Macaca mulatta: one gene and its partners. Each later gene encodes a partner of the first gene's protein in a complex. Links are inferred from orthologs where the notes say so. Each region holds a gene or a part of one and is shown in the gene's direction. Other genes may lie near its edges. The genes, in order: SMARCA2, SMARCC2 and DPF1.

Evidence for each region.
Region 2: SMARCA2 (region 1) and SMARCC2 share a complex: the UniProt entries of both Homo sapiens proteins name them as parts of the BAF complex. The link is inferred for Macaca mulatta from reciprocal best matches to the Homo sapiens genes SMARCA2 and SMARCC2.
Region 3: SMARCA2 (region 1) and DPF1 share a complex: the UniProt entries of both Homo sapiens proteins name them as parts of the neuron-specific chromatin remodeling complex. The link is inferred for Macaca mulatta from reciprocal best matches to the Homo sapiens genes SMARCA2 and DPF1.

The regions. Positions count from the first base shown.
Region 1 is NC_133420.1:97,379,102-97,386,364, reverse strand, and holds part of SMARCA2 (SWI/SNF-related matrix-associated actin-dependent regulator of chromatin subfamily A member 2), read left to right. Parts: intron 1-740; coding exon 741-807; intron 808-1,471; coding exon 1,472-1,582; intron 1,583-4,214; coding exon 4,215-4,457; intron 4,458-5,871; coding exon 5,872-5,985; intron 5,986-7,263. UniProt on the Homo sapiens protein: ATPase involved in transcriptional activation and repression of select genes by chromatin remodeling (alteration of DNA-nucleosome topology).
Region 2 is NC_133416.1:63,323,844-63,331,106, reverse strand, and holds part of SMARCC2 (SWI/SNF complex subunit SMARCC2), read left to right. Parts: coding exon 1-49; intron 50-3,506; coding exon 3,507-3,620; intron 3,621-4,479; coding exon 4,480-4,633; intron 4,634-5,309; coding exon 5,310-5,402; intron 5,403-5,634; coding exon 5,635-5,754; intron 5,755-5,848; coding exon 5,849-5,911; intron 5,912-6,593; coding exon 6,594-6,852; intron 6,853-7,098; coding exon 7,099-7,260; intron 7,261-7,263. UniProt on the Homo sapiens protein: Involved in transcriptional activation and repression of select genes by chromatin remodeling (alteration of DNA-nucleosome topology).
Region 3 is NC_133424.1:49,295,672-49,303,732, reverse strand, and holds the start of DPF1 (zinc finger protein neuro-d4), read left to right. Parts: upstream 1-3,835; 5' UTR 3,836-4,188; coding exon 4,189-4,301; intron 4,302-5,709; coding exon 5,710-5,870; intron 5,871-5,953; coding exon 5,954-6,061; intron 6,062-8,061. UniProt on the Homo sapiens protein: May have an important role in developing neurons by participating in regulation of cell survival, possibly as a neurospecific transcription factor. Belongs to the neuron-specific chromatin remodeling complex (nBAF complex).

The DNA.
Region 1 (7,263 bases):
TGAGGGCATAATGATTCACACGCACCCTCCCTGGGAGTTCAGTGTGTCTGCCTGTGGGTGTTAGGTTGCAGCTTTATTCACCGAGCTCTTGTTATAGATCTCAATGCTGATAGGAACTTGGACCTTCAGTAAGAAGAAGGATTCTATTAATATTATTGTGTTTTCTTTGAATTTTTTCTAATGAAGACTATTTGCAGTCCTTTTTGTATGAATTATCTGTATCTATAATATTTAGGCATCTTTTGCATTTAATCTATATTTTGCACGTTCTGAATCATATATACAGTGACACTTTCAGGACTTTAAAAAAAAAGTCATTCAATATTTCTTCCCCGTTCCCTCTTGACAGATTTATTTTATGTTTTCATGTGGTTTTGTAATTTCTTTTTCCTGACTCAACTTTTTTCTGAACTTATATGACTGTTTATGAAGACTCCTAAAATTATTCTGGCAATTGCTCTTTTTAAATATCATATTACAGTTTAGTTTTTTGCTCTCTATATATTCTCTGGTTTTTTTCTTACAAGATTTTTTTTATGAACCACAAACTTGTCATGTTTTGTGACAGTTTATTTTGAACTTATCTCTTATTTCCACACCTTTAAAATATGTTGTTGAGATATGTTATATTCTGTAGCCCCTTTCAAGGTGAGGCCTGAAAATGAATAAGAACATCTTTTTAACCATTGATTTTTATACAAATGTCTTTTTTCTGTGTATTTTTTTTTGTTGTTCCATAGGACTCTATCTAACTGGACATATGAATTTGACAAATGGGCTCCTTCTGTGGTGAAAATTTCTTACAAGGTTTGGAATGCTGTATTTATATATAAATGTGGAAGAGCAAAAAATAGACCGTATTTTCTTCATTCCATATGCACATCTGTGAACTGTATTTGGTTGTAAAGTTTTGTCATGTACATCATGTACTAAACCGTGAGAGTTAATCATCCCAAGAAGATGACTGTAATAAACCATAATTACTTTCAGATAGTGAAATCCAGAAGAAAATTGTTAATTATCATATTGCAAGGTTTCTGATGAGAGTAATACAAATGACAAATATCACACATTCTGCATGCTGCTGACTGGCTCACTGTGGGCTGCTACTGTGCCGACTGTTCCTGCAAAGTCAGGCAGTTACCCGGGTGCCCGGGCTGCCTGCTGTACTTTCTCAAAAGAACTGGAGCCTTTCAGCAGAGCAGTGGGTTCTCTACTACCACAAAGTCACTGTCATTTCTCTTTGCCCTCCCACTGTCTTTGGTGGGAAAACCTTTCTAAAAAAGATCTGAAAAGGGTCAAGACGTGTAATTTAGCCAAAACTTCCTTGTGTATAATAGATCAGTCTATGAGAATGTGTGTCTGTGCATTCTTCAGTCACATGTCTGGGCATCATTAAGCTATGAATAGTGAGAAATAACACACATATATGTCCATAGGATCATGCATATACTGTTTTCTTTCCATTCAGGGTACTCCTGCCATGCGTCGCTCCCTTGTCCCCCAGCTACGGAGTGGCAAATTCAATGTCCTCTTGACTACTTATGAGTATATTATAAAAGACAAGCACATTCTTGCAAAGGTATGTTTCTAAAAAATTATTTTCTCTCTAATTATGGACCATCGCACTGGAACGTGAAGTATTGCCCAAATCAATAGTATAATTAGATCCTTAGATGGCTTGTCCCTTTCTTTATTTTTTAAAAATTTTGTCAGAGTTTGATGTATTTAGGTCATGGATTTGATTTCATGCATGCTATTTGTGTGTGTGTGTGTGTGTGTGTGTGTGTGTGTGTGTGTGTATGGTTGATCCTGGAATGGCTCTTGACTGTCCTCTCAGAGTTGATGAGTTTACATCTCTTAGAAAAATTCACCTGGTTGCTTCTGCAACTCTTTTCTCTCCAACAGCTTTGAACATTCTCGGGAGAGAAATAATTGTTTTTGTTGCCCTGAGATATTGTCAGTGTAACTTCATTCCTCTTGTGCCTTTGTTTCTCCAAAGATGAGCCAGACACCTCTGCATATGGTCTCCGCCATATGAACATTTATCCAAGCATTGGCTTTTGTGGTAGTCTTGTTTCAGGTTTTTCCTGGTGAAATAATAGACTATCATTGTTGGATTACTCAAGGCTGTTTCTGTGACTATTTATTTGAAACTGAGAAAGAGGTGTTTCTGTGACTTACGTGTCTCCTAATTTGTGTGTCCTAAGTTGTTCCTCAGCCACAAAGTAGAAGTTTTTACCCCCATTTTTATCATCTTGTCTTCTAGTACATTCATGTAGAAAGATGGAAGTACTCTCTCTCATGGAACAAATAATGAAAACTCATTTTTTTTTCTCTTTAGTAATTTTTTTTTTACCCCATGATGTTTTGAAAGCACTATAATCTGAAACTAAGTTATGTCCAAAATTGAATAGAACCTCTATTTCTGGGGTCTATTCTATCTCTGCATTAAACTCTTGCTCTGGGAACTGAGAGTTCCCTTCATGGCATCATAGGAAATAACAAAAAGGAAATGTGTTCCCAGGGGAGGTTTAATAATTGAGATGGCACTGGCAACAATGTTGTGTTCCACCTCCTCACACTCAGAGATGAATTTGGCAGTGTCAAAAATGATGTGTTTTCAATATTACTATGGGAATGTATTTGTACATTTGAGATCCTTTTAAAAAAATTCATATTGTGTCATCTGCATATGTATTTCAAGATTCATTGGAGATGCCTGGTAATGAGATGCATTGCTTTTATTTGTTACTGGAGAAATGGAGCTATAGAAAGGGGTAGTAATTTTGTCCAAGTGGAAGACCTAATTAGTAGTAGACCCAATAGCAAAATCAAAGGCCTCTGATTCTTTATTACTTCATAAGCTAAATTAGGCAAGAAAGTAGATTTAGGATATTTATTTAAATATATTTTTGTCTGCTTACCTCTTTTCATGCTATTGGTAAGTTTGAGGCAGTTGATTGTACAGTTTTAATTATCCTTTAAGCACTTTCCTTAGAGGTGGTGGAGGAAGGAAGAAAAATTGAGGTAGGTTTTTTGTTTGTTTGTTTGTTTACCTATACATCCCAGCCTGACTGATAATTTTATTCCTTTTCTCCCGGCATGTCTGATGCTTCTAATGAGGAAGGCAAGGACTGTATAGAATACTTCCCTCATCTCCCTTCTGTCTCTAGGAGCTTTGCAGCAGGATCTGGGGACATCTGAGCACCAGATGTTTTTCTTGGCCATAGCCACTGTTTTGTAGAGAATGGATAGGCTTAGTGGAACATTCCTCATTGTTCTCACTTTAAGAAACTGAACAGTGCTCTTAAGAGGACCGAAGGGCAAGGCATGAGAGAGGAAAGGGACTGTGTAGACAGGATAGAGGACTGGGCCATTTAAGCATTCTGGACGTTTTACGCAATAGTCATGTTGGGGAATTATGCTGTATTTAATTCTGCAGTTTTGGCATAAATAGAGGAATGATATTTTTGCACTGCCCTTTCTGCCAGTGAGTATATACTTTTATTTTAGATAAAACAGGGGTCCTAGATCTGGCAGGTAAGGAATGTGCGTGTATTGAGGGAGCTTGGTTGTCAGACCTAATTTTTGAAGAGCTGTATGTACAAATTTAATGTGAAATGGTCCAACTTTTAAATGTTAGCAACCAGTCCAAACAAAACAAAACACACTTCCCAGCCAAGCCCTAAAGGTAGTAACCAGCCAGGCTAATAGAAAAGAAGGTATGGAGCCAGGAATATCTCAGCTGTAGAACCTGCTAGGGCCATCTTGGAAAAATCAGTCATTAACCTCTGCTTCAGGTGGGTACCTATATTCTGCACCTGTCATGAGCCGAAATAGCATGACAATGAAATCTGGGATAGCTGTCATGATACAGTATTACTAGAAGGGGCACTGGATGGGGAGATACAGGATCCACATGTAGGAACAACCATGTCATTCTGGACCTAACTTTCTTTCTTTGTAAAAAGTTGATTTGGAATTACGAGGTCTGTAAGGAACATTGTTGCTTTAACATTCTATTATTACAGGATGTCTTATGTGGCCTATCAGGCATGAGACATTGTTGAGATTCTCTTGTCTCAAAGGTAATCACGGCATATCATATACCAAGGATGGGTTCTTTGGTTTCCCGCACCACTACTTGCTTGTTGGAAATAGTTGTATTTTCCCTTGCTTACTACATGTCCATCCTTCCTCTTATGTTATAGATTCGGTGGAAATACATGATAGTGGATGAAGGCCACCGAATGAAGAATCACCACTGCAAGCTGACTCAGGTCTTGAACACTCACTATGTGGCTCCCAGAAGGATCCTCTTGACTGGGACCCCGCTGCAGAATAAGCTCCCTGAACTCTGGGCCCTCCTCAACTTCCTCCTCCCCACAATTTTTAAGAGCTGCAGCACATTTGAACAATGGTTCAATGCTCCATTTGCCATGACTGGTGAAAGGGTACTGGTCTGACTTTTGTTTTTTCTACTGCATGACAATGACATGAAATGAAAGGCCCTAAAGCTGGGAACATTACTGCCACAGAACACCCGCAGGGTGGTTTACAATGTTGTTTATTTTATGAAACCCATTGGTGGGTGGACATGGTCTCGTGGTGGGGTTATTTTCCCCTCCTAGGAAAATGGATCTAGTGGTATACGGGGCATCTAATCCCTTTGTCTTTTGCCAGCATGTTTACCAGGCTACCAGAAAAGGGTCCCTACTGGTGGAACCAGTGGGCCACAGGGAGGATGAACATGGAGATGTTTTGCTGAATTAATTTAACCAGATCAAATTAACAACTAAATACAAGCTTTAAACAAATCTTTCCTTGTTATAAACTTGGAGTTCCCTTTGAAATATTTCCACATGAAGAGTTTGTGTGTAAAACAGAACTAGTTTTCACTAATTTTCTGCACACTTTTTTTTTTTTTCTTTTTAGGTTTTAATGTGAGTTTCAGTTTTGTGTGTACGTAAATTGTCTTCCTGGAGTAGCCATTTATTTTCCAGTTTCTTACTGTTCCTTCCACTGTCTTCTCTTAAGACCTCATTTATGAAAGGAAGACAATGGGCCGTTGCAAGAAAAGAAATGGGCACGTCATTTTCATAGTGGTTCCTCATTCATAGGAATGAAAAGCCACTAAAAATGCTTTAGTAAAATTTCAGTTTGAATTATTTGGTCCTTTGATTTTGAGGCACATGGGCCCCTCCTCAGTGGTTAACTCACTGGCTTGCCCATTTGTAGAAAGTAGTGTCAATCAACTCTGCCCCCTAGAGGTTAATAGGAGAAGGTGAAAGAGAAAGCCGGGAAATTTGTAAGTTTGGCTAAATTTGAACTAGATAGGGCTGAGAAAAGGAAAGGAGTGAAGTTAGAGGGACTTAGAGGTCCACCAGCATAAACTAGATCGACTCTTGTTCCTCTTCTTTATATGTGCAAGCCCCTGTTCCTTTAGTATGTTTCTGTGTCTGAGACAACCAAGACGAAGGGCCTAACTTAAGGCTGCCACTTTAAATAGGGAACATATTAACTATTGCCCCTCTTCTCCCGTTCTATCTCAATCTTCAGTCCGTCTTCATTGACAGTCATATTCCATACAATTTGGGGCTGTTGACACTACTGATAAAAACTGGTGGCTTCTGGACTCTTTTCCATAGAACTCAGCATTAAGACAAAGATCTATTTAGAGGTCATTTTGTTACCGCTTGGTAGGCAGGTGGGAAGATAATTCAGAGGTAGATATGATAGGCTTAAACCTGGCTTTAATGCATGTAAAATGTTAATCATGTATTGAACCATATAAGTATAACATAAAGCTTTATTGTATGAAACATCCTTTTCTTTAAAACATCAAATTCATATAAGCCTCTCTTACAGGTGGATTTAAATGAAGAAGAAACTATATTGATCATCAGACGTCTACATAAGGTGTTAAGACCATTTTTACTAAGGAGACTGAAGAAAGAAGTTGAATCCCAGCTTCCAGAAAAAGTATGTCGCACAGTCAAAAGTTGTGGGGTTTTTTTTCCTCCAGCAAATATATTTGAAGTACCTGCCTCTGAGATTGTGTTTCTGAAACAGCAGACTCATATTGTAGTTATAAGTATCTTGAAAATATCTTAAAGTGCTTTTTTGTTTGATAGGGCTAGAGAGAGAAGGGAAATTATAGCATTTGCAGCCTGTTTTCCAAAAGCGTTCGAGCGGATTTTATAAAATTATCAAATTCATTGAGTCTCATTTACATTTTAATTTTAGAATTTTTTTTTTTAAGTGGCCTCATTGAGTTCACTGTTGCAGGCACTGTAGAATTGTTCTGCTTATAAGTGAATGGAATATTTGACTTTGGGGACTTGTGTCATCATTGAAGGGGATGGGGAACATTAGCAGGTTTTCTAGAAATGTATTTAGTATTTGATGTTTGTGATGTCACCATTCTGACAGTAAGTGAAAAAACAAGAGTTTCTGCAAATTACAGACACACCATCTAATTATTTGGGGACATTATTTTTGTTCCGTGCCATAAAAATTAAGTTCCTGTGACCACGTTAAGCCAGTATTTTTCAGACTAACTTTTGGAAACTTAGTTTGTGGTGCTTTAGAACAGCTTCTGAGCCCTTCGCTCTATGTTTTGGGGTTGGATTTGAGTATTAGTTTACTATGTTTCTGATCGTATTTTGGAACCATGCATATTTGAATTCTAAGTTTCATTCTCTTAAAGATAGTTTAGCATTGTATACTATTTGTTGCATGAGGTATTTTGATTGGAGTTTTTTCTTTAGAAGAGCCAATTCTGAGATGTTTTATTTTTTGCATGATTGTGGTTTTTCTGGGTAACGACTCTATTTTTGGACAGATCGGTTCCTCCTGTTCATTTTTAAGTGGGAGTTGTCAAGATGGTGTACAAAGTTGATCACTTTGTTAAGAGAGAATTTTACTCCCTAATCCTTTATGCATTGATAGTCTGAAAAAAAATTAAAAATGATTTTTATACCATGCATGTCTCAGTGAAAGTCTAAGTATTTAAGTATTTTATTCTGCTGGTGAATGCATCTTGGGTGTAGAATGCTGTTGATACTCCCTTGGACTTCCTGTGTTCTTGGCCTCTGGGTAGCACCCTTTCTGTTCAAGATGGAGTTTAGTTACTGAGTACATAAATTGGTAAATGGGTATAGTGGCCATGTGGGTGCCTTGAATTACTTCCTAGCATACAATTACAGTGATTCTGCAAGTGATAGAGATGGAATGTTAATTATTTTAATTTATCACATA
Region 2 (7,263 bases), on another chromosome or scaffold:
CTCTCCCCGAGTTCTTCAACGGCAAGAACAAGTCCAAGACTCCAGAGATGTAAGGAAATCTCAGCTCATGATTCTCTTTCTCCCTCCTGTCCCCCCATTCACCCTTCCTGATCCAGTAACATTCAGTTTAGCAAACATTTCTTGAGCTCCTTCCATGAGCCAGGCACTGTGCTAGGCTTACAAAGACACAATATCTGCCTTTAGGCAGCCCTGGCCTAGCATGTAGACACATGTTCTTTAGGATTTGCCTAAGGGTGCTATTAAGCATGTTCTGTATATAACAAGTACTTACTTCAATGCCTCAAATTCTTTTTAACAGGGTATAGAGCCTTTAAATCCATATTACTGATATTGTCTAAACTGCAGATATTCCTAGCACAAGTAATAGCTTTGATTAAAGTGTAAATTACTATTACCAGGCTGGTTCCTGAGAGTAGGTTTTCATAGAAAAACAAGAGAAGGAACTAATAGAAGACCAGTTTATATAAATTAAGGGATGGAGAGGGCTCTCTGGGAAAGAAGTGTAGGAGCCACAGTGGCTCACGACTGTAAATCATCCCAGCTACTTGGGACACTGAGACAGAAGGATTCCTTGAGGCCAGGAGTTCAAGAATAGTGTGAGCAACATTGCAGGACTCCCGTCTCTAAAGAAGTGAAAAAAAAAATTAGCTGGGCATGGTGGGGCATACCTGTGGTCCCAGCTACTTGAGAAGCTGAAATGGGAGGGTTGCTTGAGCCTAGGAGTTTGAGGCTACACTGAGCCATGATCACGCCACTGCACTCCAGCCTGACTGACACAGCAAGACCCCATATCTAAAAAAATGAATGAACAAGGCTGGGCACTGTGGCTCATGCCTATAATCCTAACACTTTGGGAGGCCGAGGCGGGTGGATCACAAGGTCAGGAGATCAAGACCATCCTGGCTAACGTGGTGAAACCCCGTCTCTATTAAAAATACCAAAAAAGACCAGGCGCAGTGGCTCATGCCTGCAATCCCAGCACTTTGGGAGGCGCAGGTGGGCAGATCACCTGAGGTGGGGAGTTCGAGACCAGCCTGACCAACCTGGAGAAACCCCATCTCTACTAAAAATACAAAACTAGCCTGGCATGGTGGCACATGCCTGTAATCCCAACTACTACAGAGGCTGAGGCAGGAGAATCGCTTGAACATGGGAGGCGGAAGTTGTGGTGAGCCGAGATCATGCCACTGCACTCCAGCCTGGCCAACAAGAGTGAAACTCTGTCTGGAAAAAAAAAAAAATAGCCGGGCATGGTGGCACGCATCTGTAGTCCCAGCTAGTCTGGAGGCTGAGGCAGGAGAATCGCTTGAACCTGGGAGGCAGAGGTTGCAGTGAGCCAAGATCACACCACTGCACTCCAGCCTGGGCGATAGAGCAAGACTCTGTCTCAGAAAAAAAAAAAAAGTTAATGAACAAATAAATAAAAGTATGGGTTTGGGGCTCGAAAGTCTTCATCTCCTTCAAGATTTTGCCTCAGGCCGGCTGAGCGTGGTGGCTCACACCTGTAATCCCAGCACTTTGGGAGGCCGAGGCAGGCTGATCATGAGGTCAGGAGATGGGAGACCATCCTGGCTAACACAGTGAAACCCTGTCTCTACTAAAAATACAAAAAAAATTAGCTGGGCATGGTGGCGGGCACCTGTAGTTCCAGCTACTTGGGAGGCTGAGGCAGGAGAATGGCGTGAACCCGGGAGGCAGAGCTTGCAGTGAGCTGAGATTCTGCCACTGCACTTCAGCCTGGGCAACAGAGCGAGACTCCGTCTCAAAAAAAAAAAAAAGATTTTGCCTCAGGCCAAACCTGCTTGGCTTTGGATAAGACGTGGCAATCTTCTTTGGTTAGGAATACTTGAAGATAACCACATTGATGAGGTGGGTGAGACTGAGAACTGAACAAGTTTTCTTCCTAGGTATTCCACAGCTTGCCTTCTCTGGTGGTCCCTCCATGTTTTTTCCTCATAGCTTGCTGTGGTTCTTTCTTCTTCTCTTCCTGGAGAAAGCAGTATGTGTGAAAAGAAAGTAGTGATCAGATGAAATGAATTCAACATGACATGCAGGCAGGGTTGGAGTAGGAACTGAACTCTTGGTATAAAATAGTAAATGATGGGCTCGGTGTGGTGGTTCACGCCTGTAATTCCAGCACTTTGGGAGGCCGAGGCGGGGCAGATCATGAGGTCAGGAGTTCGAGACCAGCCTGGCCAACATGGTAAAACCCCATCTCTACTAAAAATACAAAAATTAGCTGGGTGTGGTGGCACGCACCTGTAATCCCAGCTACTTGGGAGGCTGAGGCAGGAGAATCACTTGAGCCCAGTAGGTGGAAGTTGCAGTGAGCCGAGATCACGTCATTGCACTCCAGCCTGGGCAACAAGAGTGAAACTCCATCTCAGAAAAAAAAAATAGTAAATGATGATAATTGCCTACATCTGGGAGCTTAGTATCTCCCAGGCACTATCCTAAATGTCCAACATACATTGAGTAATTTAATCTTTATGTCAACGAAGGTTGATATCATCTTCAGTTGACAGATAGGGTACAGAGGAGTCAGGTCACCTGCATAAAGTCACAGAGCTAGTAAGTAAAACCAGGATCTGAATCCTTTAATCTGGCCCATGATCTGAAAGTTTACACTGTACCACGTAATAGCCGCCATTTTTTTTGAGCCCCTACAGTGCCCCAGGCACTGTACTAGTACTCTATAGACCTTTCATTCTCAACGGATGTTCCATTTTACAGATGAGGAAACTGAGGTTTAAAAAAATCGAAGTAAATTGCCAAGGTCCTCATGGTAGAACTGGGATTAGGTCTTTTCTTCAAAACATATGTTTTTTACCATATTATGCTAACTAGCTGTGTGCATGAATAAGGACTTCCTTATTAACATCTGAGTTTGGAAATGAGTACTTTTTCTTAACTTCTAATTCCTTGTTTAAAAATTGTATAAAATGGCCAGGCGCAGTGGCTTATGCCTGTAATCCCAGCACTTTGGGAGGCCGAGGCAGGAGGATCACCTGAGGTCAGGAGTTCAAGACCAGCCTGACCAACATGGAGAAAACCTGTCTCTACTAAAAATACAAAATTATCCCACCGTAGTGGCACATGCCTGTCATCTCAGCTACTGAGGAGGCTGAGGCAGGAGAATTGCTTGAACCCAGGAGGCGGAAGTGACTGTGAGCCAAGATCACGCCATTGCACTCCAGCCTGGGCAACAAGAGTGAAACTCCATCTCAAAAAAAAAAAAATTGTATGAAATATCCATAAGTATAGCCAAGGAGATAATTCATTTAAAGAAAACACCATCAAGGAAAACTAAGACCTATTTGAAACCCTTTCATCTAGCACATAGCAGGCACTCAGCGTATTGAGTCAAATAATCTACTTTTTTCCACCTTTATCATGCAGGAGAAGTCGTTAGCTCTCTTACCATTTTTTCCTTTAGCCCTTTAACAAACATTAATTTTTTTTCTTGTTTCTCTCTCTCTTCTAAGCTACCTGGCCTATCGAAACTTTATGATTGACACTTACCGACTGAACCCCCAAGAGTATCTTACCTCTACCGCCTGTCGCCGAAACCTAGCGGGTGATGTCTGTGCCATCATGAGGTGGGTCTTGTGGCTGAGGGGAAGGGGGTACATGAAGATGCCTGCCTATGGATGTGTTTTGACAACAGTAGAGATGCCAGCAAGGAACATAGAGGAGCAGGCAGAAAAAAACACCTCTAGAGAAAGGTGAAGTACAGGTTTGGGAATGAATGACTTGGGGGATTAGCAGTGGCATTCTCTGAAGTGTAGAATATAGGACAAAGGAGCACGTGTGTAATTGAAAGCTACTGGTTCAGGCCAGGTGTAGTGGCTCGTGCCTATAATCTAAACATTTTGGGAGACCAAGGTGGGAGGATCGCTGGAGGCCAGAAGTTCGAGACCAGCCTGGGCAAAATGGCGAAACCCCATCTCTACAGAAAATGCAAAAAAATTAGCTAGGCGTGGTCGCACGTGTCTATGGTCTTAGTGACTCAGGAGGCTGAGATGGGAGGATCACTGAGCCCTGGAGTGGAGGCTGCAGTGAGCGGTGATCACACCACTGCACTTCAGCCTCTCTCAGGGATAGAAAAAAAGAAAGAGAGGGAGAGGGAGGGAGTGGGGAGGGAGGAAGGGCAAAGAAAGAAAAGAAAAGAAAGAAACTGGTTCAGTTTTACTAGCTATTCAGGAAGAAATGTTCAGTAGGTAGGTGGATATAGAGATTGGCCCAGGCTGGAGATGTAGACTTGGGTGTCACTGGCATTTAGGTGGTAAATGAACAACTGGAGTAGGTAAAATTTCCTAAGGAGTACAATGAACAGAGGAAAAGGCTGGGGTTGGGTGGGGAGGGGGTTTATGCCCCAACTTCTACCCCCAGTTTTCCTCTTCCTCGTGCACCTTTCTGGCTATCCGTGTGACACTGTCTCTGCCTCTCTCCGCACAGGGTCCATGCCTTCCTAGAACAGTGGGGTCTTATTAACTACCAGGTGGATGCTGAGAGTCGACCAACCCCAATGGGGCCTCCGCCTACCTCTCACTTCCATGTCTTGGCTGACACACCATCAGGGCTGGTGCCTCTGCAGCCCAAGACCCCTCAGGTAGGGTGAGGTACTATGGGGATGGGGCGGGGTTGGGAAGATTGGGCTTCTTTGAACTTTTCTTTTTCTGGTTTTTAGGCTAATGGTTCAGGAGTGTTTTGAGGCTTCTTGCTTTTCCATGGGATGCAAAGGGCCACAGGAATCAGCCCCATGTGTTTAGCATCCTCTCTCAGCCTTTGTACCTAAGGCTGTAATTGCTGAGGGAGAAGAGATTATCCTTTTACTCAAGGAGCAGACAGGCTAATGTAGGGGATTCAATAGATAGAGAAAAATGGCTTAAAATTAACTTGCATGAAATTTTTAAACTTTGTCATCTTTGCCACATTTTTTCATTTTTGCCTCATAATTATCACCTTCTTTTTTTTTTTTTTTTCATTTCCACTTCATCCATTACAAAATTTAGGAAGAAGGTTATGTGGCTTGCCCAAGGTCACAGAGTACCAAATCTAGGATTAGAACGTAATTGTCCAGCTCCTAAGAGAACCTGTAAAGATAATGTGAATATATATGGATATCATGCCAATGACATGTCTTACTAATCATGAAGGGAACATGGAACAGTGGCATGAGTGCCCCCAGAGCTTGCGGGCCGCCCAGCATTTGGTCTTGAGGCCTCCAGGGCCTTGACCTGGTCATTTCCTGCCCAGCCTCCATGACGCCAAGCTCTGTCCCCCAGGGCCGCCAGGTTGATGCTGATACCAAGGCTGGGCGAAAGGGCAAAGAGCTGGATGACCTGGTGCCAGAGACGGCTAAGGGCAAGCCAGAGCTGGTAGGTGGGGTGCAGACCCTGCTGGGCTGCTCATTTGCCCCTTTATTGGGGGGCCCCTGCCCGGGAAGAAGAGACATGAGAGCAGAGGAACTACAGCAGTAAGGGAGGAAGTCCCACCCAGGGGTGTCCCTGGCTTTGGGAAAGAAGCTCCTTCTGTCTGTTTTTTCTCTCTGTCAGCCCCTGGCTCCCAGTGGTCACTTGTACTCACCTCTTTCTTTCCCTCCACAAATAGCAGACCTCTGCTTCCCAACAAATGCTCAACTTTCCTGACAAAGGCAAAGAGAAACCAACAGACATGCAAAACTTTGGGCTGCGCACAGACATGTACACAAAAAAGAATGTTCCCTCCAAGGTAGGAGGTGGGGGCCGACTTTAGGGGTAGAGAATGTTCACTCCTCAGAGGTCACAGGCTCCTCTCTTCTGACCTGCCTGTGTTTCCCCTGCAGAGCAAAGCTGCAGCCAGTGCCACTCGTGAGTGGACAGAACAGGAAACCCTGCTTCTCCTGGAGGTAATTGGGGCAAAGAAAAGAGTTTTTCTCTGGAAACAGAAGTGGGCTCCGTGTAGAGGCTCACACCTGTAATCCCAGCACTTTGAGAGGCCAAGGCAGGAGGATCGCTTGAGCCCAGGAGTTCGAGACGAGCCTGGACAACATAGTGAGACTCTGCCTTTATGAAAAATTTAAAAAATTAGCCAGGTGTGGTGGCACACACCTGTGGTCCCAGCTACTCAGGAGGCTAAGTGGGAGGCTTGCCCAGGAGGTCAAGGCTCCAGTGAGCTGTGATCATACCACTGCACTCCAGCATGGGTGACAGAGTGAGACAAGACCCTGTTTCAAAAAACAAACAAACAAAAAAAGAAAACAGACATGTTGAAGTTGCTGGCCACACTTGTGAGTGAGGAGAGATCGTGGAGTTTGGCATGAGCAGAGCATGATCTTGCCCTGTCTCTCCCGTTCCCAATGCCTGTTGCACCTGCCCCAGGGACCAGCTCCAGGCTGGGGATTTGGGCCATTTCATTAACTTCATATCCTTTCTTAGTGCTACTTCAAGATCCCTCTTGGACCTAGCAGAGTACACAAATACCAGAACATAGAGAGCTTTGAAACCAGCTGCCCTTAGTAGGATGGGGGGAGTCGGCCTTCGAGAAAAGTGGCTAAGTAAGCGGAGTTATGTCTCCACCACTACCACCAGGCACTGGAAATGTACAAAGATGACTGGAACAAAGTGTCCGAGCATGTGGGAAGCCGCACACAGGACGAGTGCATCTTGCATTTTCTTCGTCTTCCCATTGAAGACCCATACCTGGAGGACTCAGAGGCCTCCCTAGGCCCCCTGGCCTACCAACCCATCCCCTTCAGTCAGTCGGGCAACCCTGTTATGAGCACTGTTGCCTTCTTGGCCTCTGTCGTCGATCCCCGAGTCGCCTCTGCTGCTGCAAAGTCAGCCCTAGGTAATGGGGGTGGGCGGTTCCACCTGGCCTTCTTAGTTTGCTTTTGAAGGGCTAGTTACTCAGACTGTGAATCCTCTCAAGTTTGGCTGCCCTGCTGTCCTTGTCTGTGCAGGCCTCAGCTCGGGCATCTGTCTAGGCTCCATACTGGCTTAGATAAAGACATGGGCTTGTGAGTAAGCTTTTGCAGGGATTGCCAGAACTGTCCCCCTGCGCCACTCCCAGCCTCATCCTTTCTGGGTCTTACAGAGGAGTTCTCCAAAATGAAGGAAGAGGTACCCACGGCCTTGGTGGAGGCCCATGTTCGGAAAGTGGAAGAAGCAGCCAAAGTAACAGGCAAGGCGGACCCTGCCTTCGGTCTGGAAAGCAGTGGCATTGCAGGAACCACCTCTGATGAGCCTGAGCGGATTGGTA
Region 3 (8,061 bases), on another chromosome or scaffold:
GGGCACCTGTGCAAGTTGGTGGATCTACAGGCGATGGGGCCCCTCACCTTGACCCTGGCCCAGACCCCAGGAGGAGGTGTGCTGGAGCCCTGAGCAGGGGCCCAGCCAGAGTAAGCCTGGACTGGGAGGGCCCTGCCCCTCTGTGCCCTCCCCTTCCAAAAGGTCTCTGCAGGGGTGAGGGTGGGGACTCCCTGGCTCCTGAAGGAATGCGAGTCAAATCCCATGGGGAGAAGGAGCTGGAGGGTGCCGCCCTCGGAAGTTCCGACTGAGTTCCGAAACCAGCTTGAGCCACGAATGTTCCCCCGCCGTGAGCCTCAGTTTTACCATCTGTGTATGGGGGCTTCTAACAGCCCTTACCACCTGATGGGGCTGTCCTGGGGCTTAAATAAGGCCATCTTTGTAAAGCACTTAGCACAGAGACCGACACTGATCAAATGTAGTGATTATTATTAGTGGTATCAATATTGATTTATGAAATTGATTTCTACTGTGGGCCAGCTCCCCAACAGGGCACTGGGGCATGGGGCAGGAGGATTGTTTGGGCCAGGGAGAGGACTGGGAGTTCAAGTGTGTAGAAGTGTGTGGGAGTGGTGTGTGCAGGTGGTTAGGGCGGAAGGAAAGAAAGGAGAGCCCGCTCCAAGTGTCAGCCTGGGTCTGCGGGTAGAGGCCCTGCTGGTGGGCCAGACACAGAGGCTCATGCCTGTAATCCCAGCACTTTGGGAGGCCAGGGTGGGCAGATCACTTGAGCTTAGAAGTTTGAGACTAGCCTGGCCAACATAGGGACACCCTGTTTTTACAAAAATACAAAAATTAGCCGGGTGTGGTGGTGCACACCTGTAGTCCCAGCTACTTGGGGGTTTGAGGTGGGAGGATCGCTTGAGCCTGGGAGGTGGAGGCTGCAGTGAGCTGTGTTCATGCACTCCAGCCTGGGTCATTGAGTGAGACCCTGTCCAAAAAAAAAGAGAGAGAGAAAAAGAAAGAGGAAAGAAAGAAGGAGAAAGAAAGAAAGAAAGGAAGAAAGAAAGAAAGAGAGAAGGAAAAAGAGAAAGAAAGAAAGGAAGAAAAGAAAAGACAAATAGAAATTCTGCTTGTAGAGGAGGACTGTTAGAAAGGTCTACACTCAGAGTGTCTACACTCGGGCTTCTCTTAATCAAATTGACATGAGAGTTTGGGGTGGGGCAGGGGTGAGTGCCTGAGGCTAGAGGTGTGGGAATCAAGTGTAAGAGGGTGTGCTAGGGGACCTGTGAGCGAATGGGAGGTGAGAGAGGAAGGTGGGGTCACAGCTCACCGTGGGCAAGGCGTGGGGTGGCCACTATAGGCCCCTGGAGGCCAGAGTGATCGTAGGGGTGCCACTTTCCCCCACTTAATCCCTTTGTCACACTCCAGGCCATATGTGAATCAGAGACCCACTTCCTCCTGTTTCAGGAGAGGGGCGGGCCAAGGCCTTACCTGGCTTAGATGGGCAAGTTGGTGGAAAGGGTCTAAGACTAGAGGGGTGTGTGTGTGTGTGTGTGTGTGTGTGTGTGTGTGTGTGTGTGTGTAGAAGTGACCGTGAGTGTAGGAGGCCTTGACTGGATGTTTCTCATGGGGGGATTTCAAGTGACAAAAATGGTGAAGGCTAGCGGGCCACTATTGTCGGCTGGGGCGCCCCCTGGTGGATGAGGGCGTTTGTGGGCGTGTTAATTACAGCAGCCGCCCAAACCTGAATGCTGGCTCTACAGGGGTCGGGGCGGAAGAGAGGAAGGGGAAAGGGGAAGGAGGGGTGAGACGGGAAGAGGGACGGGGTGGTGGTGTTGTGGAGAGACTGGGTCAGTGTGTGACTCAGTGGGTCCGCTCACTCCCTGGGGATCTCTTCCGGTGGAGTCAGTGTGTGTGACAGTGGAAGAGAGAAGGAGGTCAGGGCCACTTGGGGAGGGGCGTCAGGGTGTCTGCCTCCTTCCTTCAGTCTCACTTTCAAAGAGCCGCCAGGGGATGCAGGTATGTGAGGTCACCTTCCTGTGCCTCAGATTCCTCACCTGGAAAATGCAGATAATAATAGCAACACGGGGTGAACTATGCCCAGCACATGATGGGTGCATTTACTCATTCAACAAATATCTACTGAGCATCTATTTTTTTTTTTTTTTTGGAGATAGGGTCTTGCTCAGTTGTCCAGGCTGGAGTGTAGTGGTGTGATCATAGCTCATTACAGCTTTGATCTCCTGGGCTCAACCAATCCTCCTGACTCAGCCTCCTGAGTAGCTGGGACCATAGGCATGTGCCACCATGCCCAGCTATTTATTTTCTTTTTGGTAGAGACCAGGTCTCGCTATGTTGCCCAGGCTGGTCTCCTGAGCTCAAGTGGTCCTCTCATCTCAGCCTCCCAAATTGCTGGGATTACAGGCATGAGTCACCTCGCCCTGCTTACTTATTTTTTTTGTTTGTTTGTTTGCTTTTAGAGACAGAGTCTTGCTCTGCCATCCAGACTGGAGTGCAGTGGTGAGACCACAGCTCACTGCAGCCTCAGCCTCCCAGGTTCAAGCTATCCTCCCACTTTAGCCTCGCAAGTAGCTGGTACTACACTGATGCGCCATCATGCCCAGCTAATTTAAATTTTTTTTTTTTTGTAGAGACAGGAGTCTGGATATGTTGCCCAGGTTGGTCTCAAACTCCTGGGCTCAAGTAGTCCTCTCATCTAGGCCTCCCAAAGTACTGGGATCGCAGACTGGAACCATTGCACCTGGCCAGCATTATTCTTTCTTTCTTATTTGTTATTTATTTATTTATTTATTTTTGAGATGGAGTCTTGCTCTTGTTGCCCAGGCTGGAGTGCAAAGGCATGATCTTGGCTCACTGCAACCTCCGCCTCCTGGGTTCAAGTGATTTTCCTGCCTCAGCTTCCCAAGTGGCTGGGATTATAGGCATGTGCCACTACGCCTGGCTAATTTTGTATTTTTAGTAGAGATGGGGTTTCTCCTTGTTGGTCAGGCAGGTCTCAAACTCCCAACCTAAGGTGATCTGCCCGCCTCAGCCTCTCAAAGTGCTGGGATTACAAGCGTGAGCCACTGTTCCTGGCCCGCATTATTCTTTCTGATAGCATTTAGGTATTACCATTGACATCTTAGTAAAGTACGTATCAGCTCCTTTGTGGAATAAATGGATTTCTTGAGCAAATACTACCTGCCAGGTACCTTTTTTTGTTTTTTTGTTTAAGGCAGTTTCTTGCTCTGTCGCCCAGGCGCGATGTCAACTCACTGCAACCTCCGCCTCCTGGGCTCAAGTGATTCTCCTGCCTCAGCCTCCCAAATAGCTGGGAGTACAGGCATGCACCACCACATCCGGCTAATTTTTGTATTTTTAGTAGAGACTGTTGGCCAGGCTGGTCTCCTACTCCTGACCTCAGGTGATCCACCTGCCTGGGCCTCCCAAAGTGCCGGGATTACAGGTGTGAGCCACTGCACCTGGCCTGCCAGTTACCTTTTAAAATGCTTTGCCTATACTTCCTCATTTAATCCTCACAACACTCCAGTGAGGCATCATCCTCTTTTTACAGATGAGGAAACTGAGGCCCAGAAAGGTTAAGTCATTTGCCAAGGTCACATGGCCACCAAGTGACAGAGCTAAGATTTAAACCCTGGAGGTGAGACTACTGTTTCTAACCTGCACTGCTGCTGTCAGGCCTGCAGAAGGCGTTGAGCAGGGCGGGGTGACCGTGAGCGTGGCTGCTGGGAGAGACAGCCCCGGATGGGGACTCTGGAGCCAGGAGAGACTCGGGTGGGGGGGATGGGAGGTGTCTGCTGGAAGCATGTTGGTGAGAAGTCTGTGTGGGCACCTGGGAGGTGTCTCTGCGTCTCTTAGTATTGCAGTGTGTGTGCATGTGGCTGTGAGTCCGTGCGAAGGTGTGTGAGTAGGAGTGTGTGGGCGGCTGTGAGTCTCCGCGTGAATGTGTGTGTAAACTGCCATGCGTGGGCGTGTGCGAGTCCAGGTGTGCATGTGGTTGTGTGCACGCGAGAGCAGGCTATGTGGACGAGTGAGGGCGGGTGAGTGACGGTGCGTGCCCCGGGCCCCTCCTCCGCGCCGTCCCCGTCCCCGCGGGGTCCCGGGGGCCCCCTGGCCTGGGACTACCACTCCCGGCATGGCCCGGGCGGGCCCGCCCCGTCGCCGCTATTGGCCGTGGCCCTCGTGCTCCCGCCCCCCGGGAATGAATGGATGGGCGGCCTCAGCGCCCGCCCGACCGCTGGGAGGACCGACCCGGCGGGGACCTGCTGGGGGCAGGACCCGGGGAGCAAGATGGCCACTGTCATCCCTGGCCCCCTGAGGTGGTGCGGGCTGGCAGGAGGCGGGGAGGGAGCGCGGGCGGGTCTACGCGGGCCTGGGTGTGTGTGGCGGCCGGGGGTGGGGCCGAGGGGGTGTCTGGGGGGCTGTCACCGAGTGCGGGGCTGCGTGGGGGTGCGAGAGTGTGTGACTGTGGGTCTCTGACAAGAATGATGTCGGATGCGCCGCTCCCTGGAGGGGTGGAGGGCGTGGGGGACCTCCAGATTCTTTTTGGGGAAGGGGGACATCGTCCCCTCCCTGCGACCCTCGGGTCTGGGAGAGGGTGAAATGACCCGGGGGTGCGGGAGCCTTGGCAAACTGGAGTGAAGTCCACACTACCTTTGTCTTGGGATGTGGAGTGTGTGTATGTACCACTTATTTGTGTTCTGGTTTTTTAAAGAATTTTTGGGGGATAGGTGTGTGGACGTGTGTCCGTTTCTTTTTATTCTGCACTAGATATCTTTGGATATTTGGGTCTCCCAGTGTGTGTCTGTGTCCTTTGGAACTATCTGTCATTTGTCTTGTGTTCTGTGTTTTTGGGTATGTAGGACTGTGTGTATTTGTGTGTAAATTTTTGTGTGACTGTGGGTGGATTTGGCTGTTTCTGTGTTTTATATGTGTGTGTGTCTGTGTGGATGTATTATATTTTAGATACTGGTTCCACATTGCACATCTTTGTAAATGTGTGTACCTGTGTGAATCTATGTGATTTCTTTGTGTTGTGTGTCTGGATATTGTGTGTGTGGTTTGTGTTGTGTCTTTGGATACGTGGGTAAGTGCACAGGGGGGTAAGTGGTTTCTGTAGTTCCTGTCCTTTGACATGTGTGTGTCTGTATGTCTTTGGCTGCATGAGGTGTGTATGTGTGTGTGGTGTTATGTTTCCATGTTGTGTGTCTTTGTGTGAGTGATGTGTTTCTGGTGTGTGTCTGTGGATATGTGATGTGTCTTTGTGCATGGTTATTTGTGTGATTCGTCTCCACACTATGGAACTTGGGATATTTGTCTTTTTCAGTAGATATTTATGTGTGCACGTGTGTGAGGTTTGTCTGTTTCTCCTTTGTGAGTACTGGGATTTGTCTCTCTTTGTGTGTGTGAATCCCGTGTGACTGTGTGTGATTTGTGTTGTGTGTCTGCATGTGTTCATGTAGGGATACATCCCGGTGTGTTTTTGTTTGTTTCTGTATGGTGTTTCTACTCATGAGCTGGAGGCGTGTTTGAGTCCCAGTTTGGGGGCCCCTGGGCCCTGTACCCTTCCCCCAGCCTGGGTCCCGGAGTGGGAGGAGGAGAGAGGTGAAGCTGGAGGGGTCTGCCCACCCCTCCCGAGCCTGGGCGGGCCGGCAGCCGGGGGAGGGGTGCTGGGCGACCCAGTGCGCCTGCCCTTGCTGACAGCCGCCCGCCCGTTCGCTGCCCCTCTAGCCTAGGCGAGGACTTCTACCGCGAGGCCATCGAGCACTGCCGCAGCTACAACGCGCGCCTGTGTGCGGAGCGCAGCCTGCGACTGCCCTTCCTCGACTCGCAGACCGGCGTGGCCCAGAACAACTGCTACATCTGGATGGAGAAGACCCACCGCGGGCCGGGTACCGCTGGGAGGGCTGGCGCGAGGCGGGGCGGGGCCGGGCCACCCCACCTCGGCCGCCCTCTCACCTTCCGTTCTCGCCAGGTTTGGCCCCGGGACAGATTTACACGTACCCCGCCCGCTGTTGGAGGAAGAAACGGAGACTCAACATCCTGGAGGACCCCAGACTCAGGCCCTGCGAGTACAAGATCGGTGGGTGCAGCCGCTGGGGCCTCCAATGGTGTCCCACGGCCTGCTGTGTGTCCAAGCCCGTCGGTCACCTTTATCCGCCTTCTAGCAAGTGTCTGCCTGGCTGGCTGTGTGTCTGCCCATGTGCATCTCGGGTGTTTCCCAGAGATTCCACAGTTTCTCTGAGTCACTGAGTGGCGACTGCATCTCCTCCTACATGGGCCCAGGTGCCCAGTTGTTGTTATGTATTTATTTATTTATTTTTGAGACAGAGTTTCACCCAGGCTGGAGTGCAATGGCGCGATCTCGCAACCTCCACCTAGTGGGGAGTTGAACCTTGAACCCGCAACCTCTGCCTAGCGGGTTCAAGCGATTCTCCTGCCTCAGCCTTCTGAGTAGCTGGGATTACAGGCATGCGCCGCCACGCCCAGCTAATTTTGTATTTTTAGTAGAAATGGGGTTTCACCGTGTTGGTCAGGCTGGTTTGGAACTTCTGACCTTAGGTGATCTGGCCACCTCGGCCTCCCGAAGTGCTGGCATTACAGGCGTGAGCCACTGTACCCGGCCTGTTGTTTTTAAAATAGAGGCAGGGTGTTATTATGTTGCCTAGGCTGGTCTCGAACTCCTGAGCTCAAAGGATCCTCCCTTCTCAGCCCTCCAAAGTGTGGCGATTACAGGCGTGAGCCACTACACCCCGCCAAGGGGTCCAGTGGTATTGGAGGGCATAGTGATACCTGTTAGGTGTGTGTGGGTATATGGAGTTTCTGTCTGCATCCCTTCCCCTGGGAGTTGGGATGGATCAGTATCTGCCTGTATTTTTTTTTTTTTTTTTTGGAGATGGAGTCCGGCTCTGTTGCCCAGGCTGGAAGTACAGTGGCACGATCTCAACTCACTGCAACCTCCGCCTAGTGGGTTCAAGTGATTCTCCTGTCTCAACCTCCCACCTAGCGCACATCGACACGCCCGGCTAATTTTTGTGTATTTTTAGTAGAGACGGGGTTTCACCGTGTTGGCCAGGCTGGTCTCGAACTCCTGACCTCAGGTGATCCACCCGACTCGGCCTCCCAGAGTGCTGGGATTATAGGCTTGAGCCACCGTGCCCGGCCATCTGCCTGTATTTTCTTCTGTGGGTGCCTGAGGGTGTCCGCCTCTGTATCTCCCCAAGGGCGTCTGGATGTCTCAGTGTCTGGTTGGAGCTCTTTCCTCTCTTAGGTGTATCTTCCCGGGTGTCTCCAAGTGTCTTAGAAGGCTTGTGTCTTGTGTATGTCTGGTTTGTCAGGGCGTCCAGCTCCTTCCCAGTGTGTCTGGGTGTGTTACGCGGTGCGGCCGTCTCTTTCTGTGGGTGTGTAGGTGCCTCGGAGTGTCTGGGAGAATCTCTTCCTGATGGTGTCTGGTGTATCAGGTGTATTTCTGCACGTGTGTGTCAGTCCATCAGAGGATCTGGACTTAACCTTGAATGTGTTTAGGAGTATCAGGGTCATTGGGGTCAGTTTCTCTTCCTGAGTCCGAAGGTCTGTGTGTACCCAGGAGTGTGGCAGTGACCACCTGGCTGTGTCTCTGTCTGTCTGTGTCTCCTATGTGTGTGTGTGTGTATCTAGCTGAGCAATTCTCCCTGGGTATGTTGGTATCTCCCCACTATGTGTCTAGGCATCTCATCTGGCTGTCTTCCCCAGGGGGGCCTAGGTATCTGGAGGGCTAATTCTTTCTTCTTTCTTTCTTTCTTTCTTTCTTTCTTTCTTTCTTTCTTTCTTTCTTTCTTTCTTTCTTTCTTTCTTTCTTTCTTTCTTTTTCTTTCTTTCTTTCTCTTTCTTTCTTTCTTTCTTTCTTTCTTTCTTTCTTTCTTTCTTTCTTTCTTTCTTTTTCTTTCTTTCTTTTTCTCTCCCTCTCTCTTTCTCTCCCTCCCTCCCTCTCTCTTCTCTTTCTTTCTTTCTTTCTTTTCTTTTTTCTTTCTTTCCCTTCCTTCCTTCCTTCCTTCCTTCCTTCCTTCCTTCCTTCCTTCCTTCCTTCCTTCCTTCCTTCCTTCC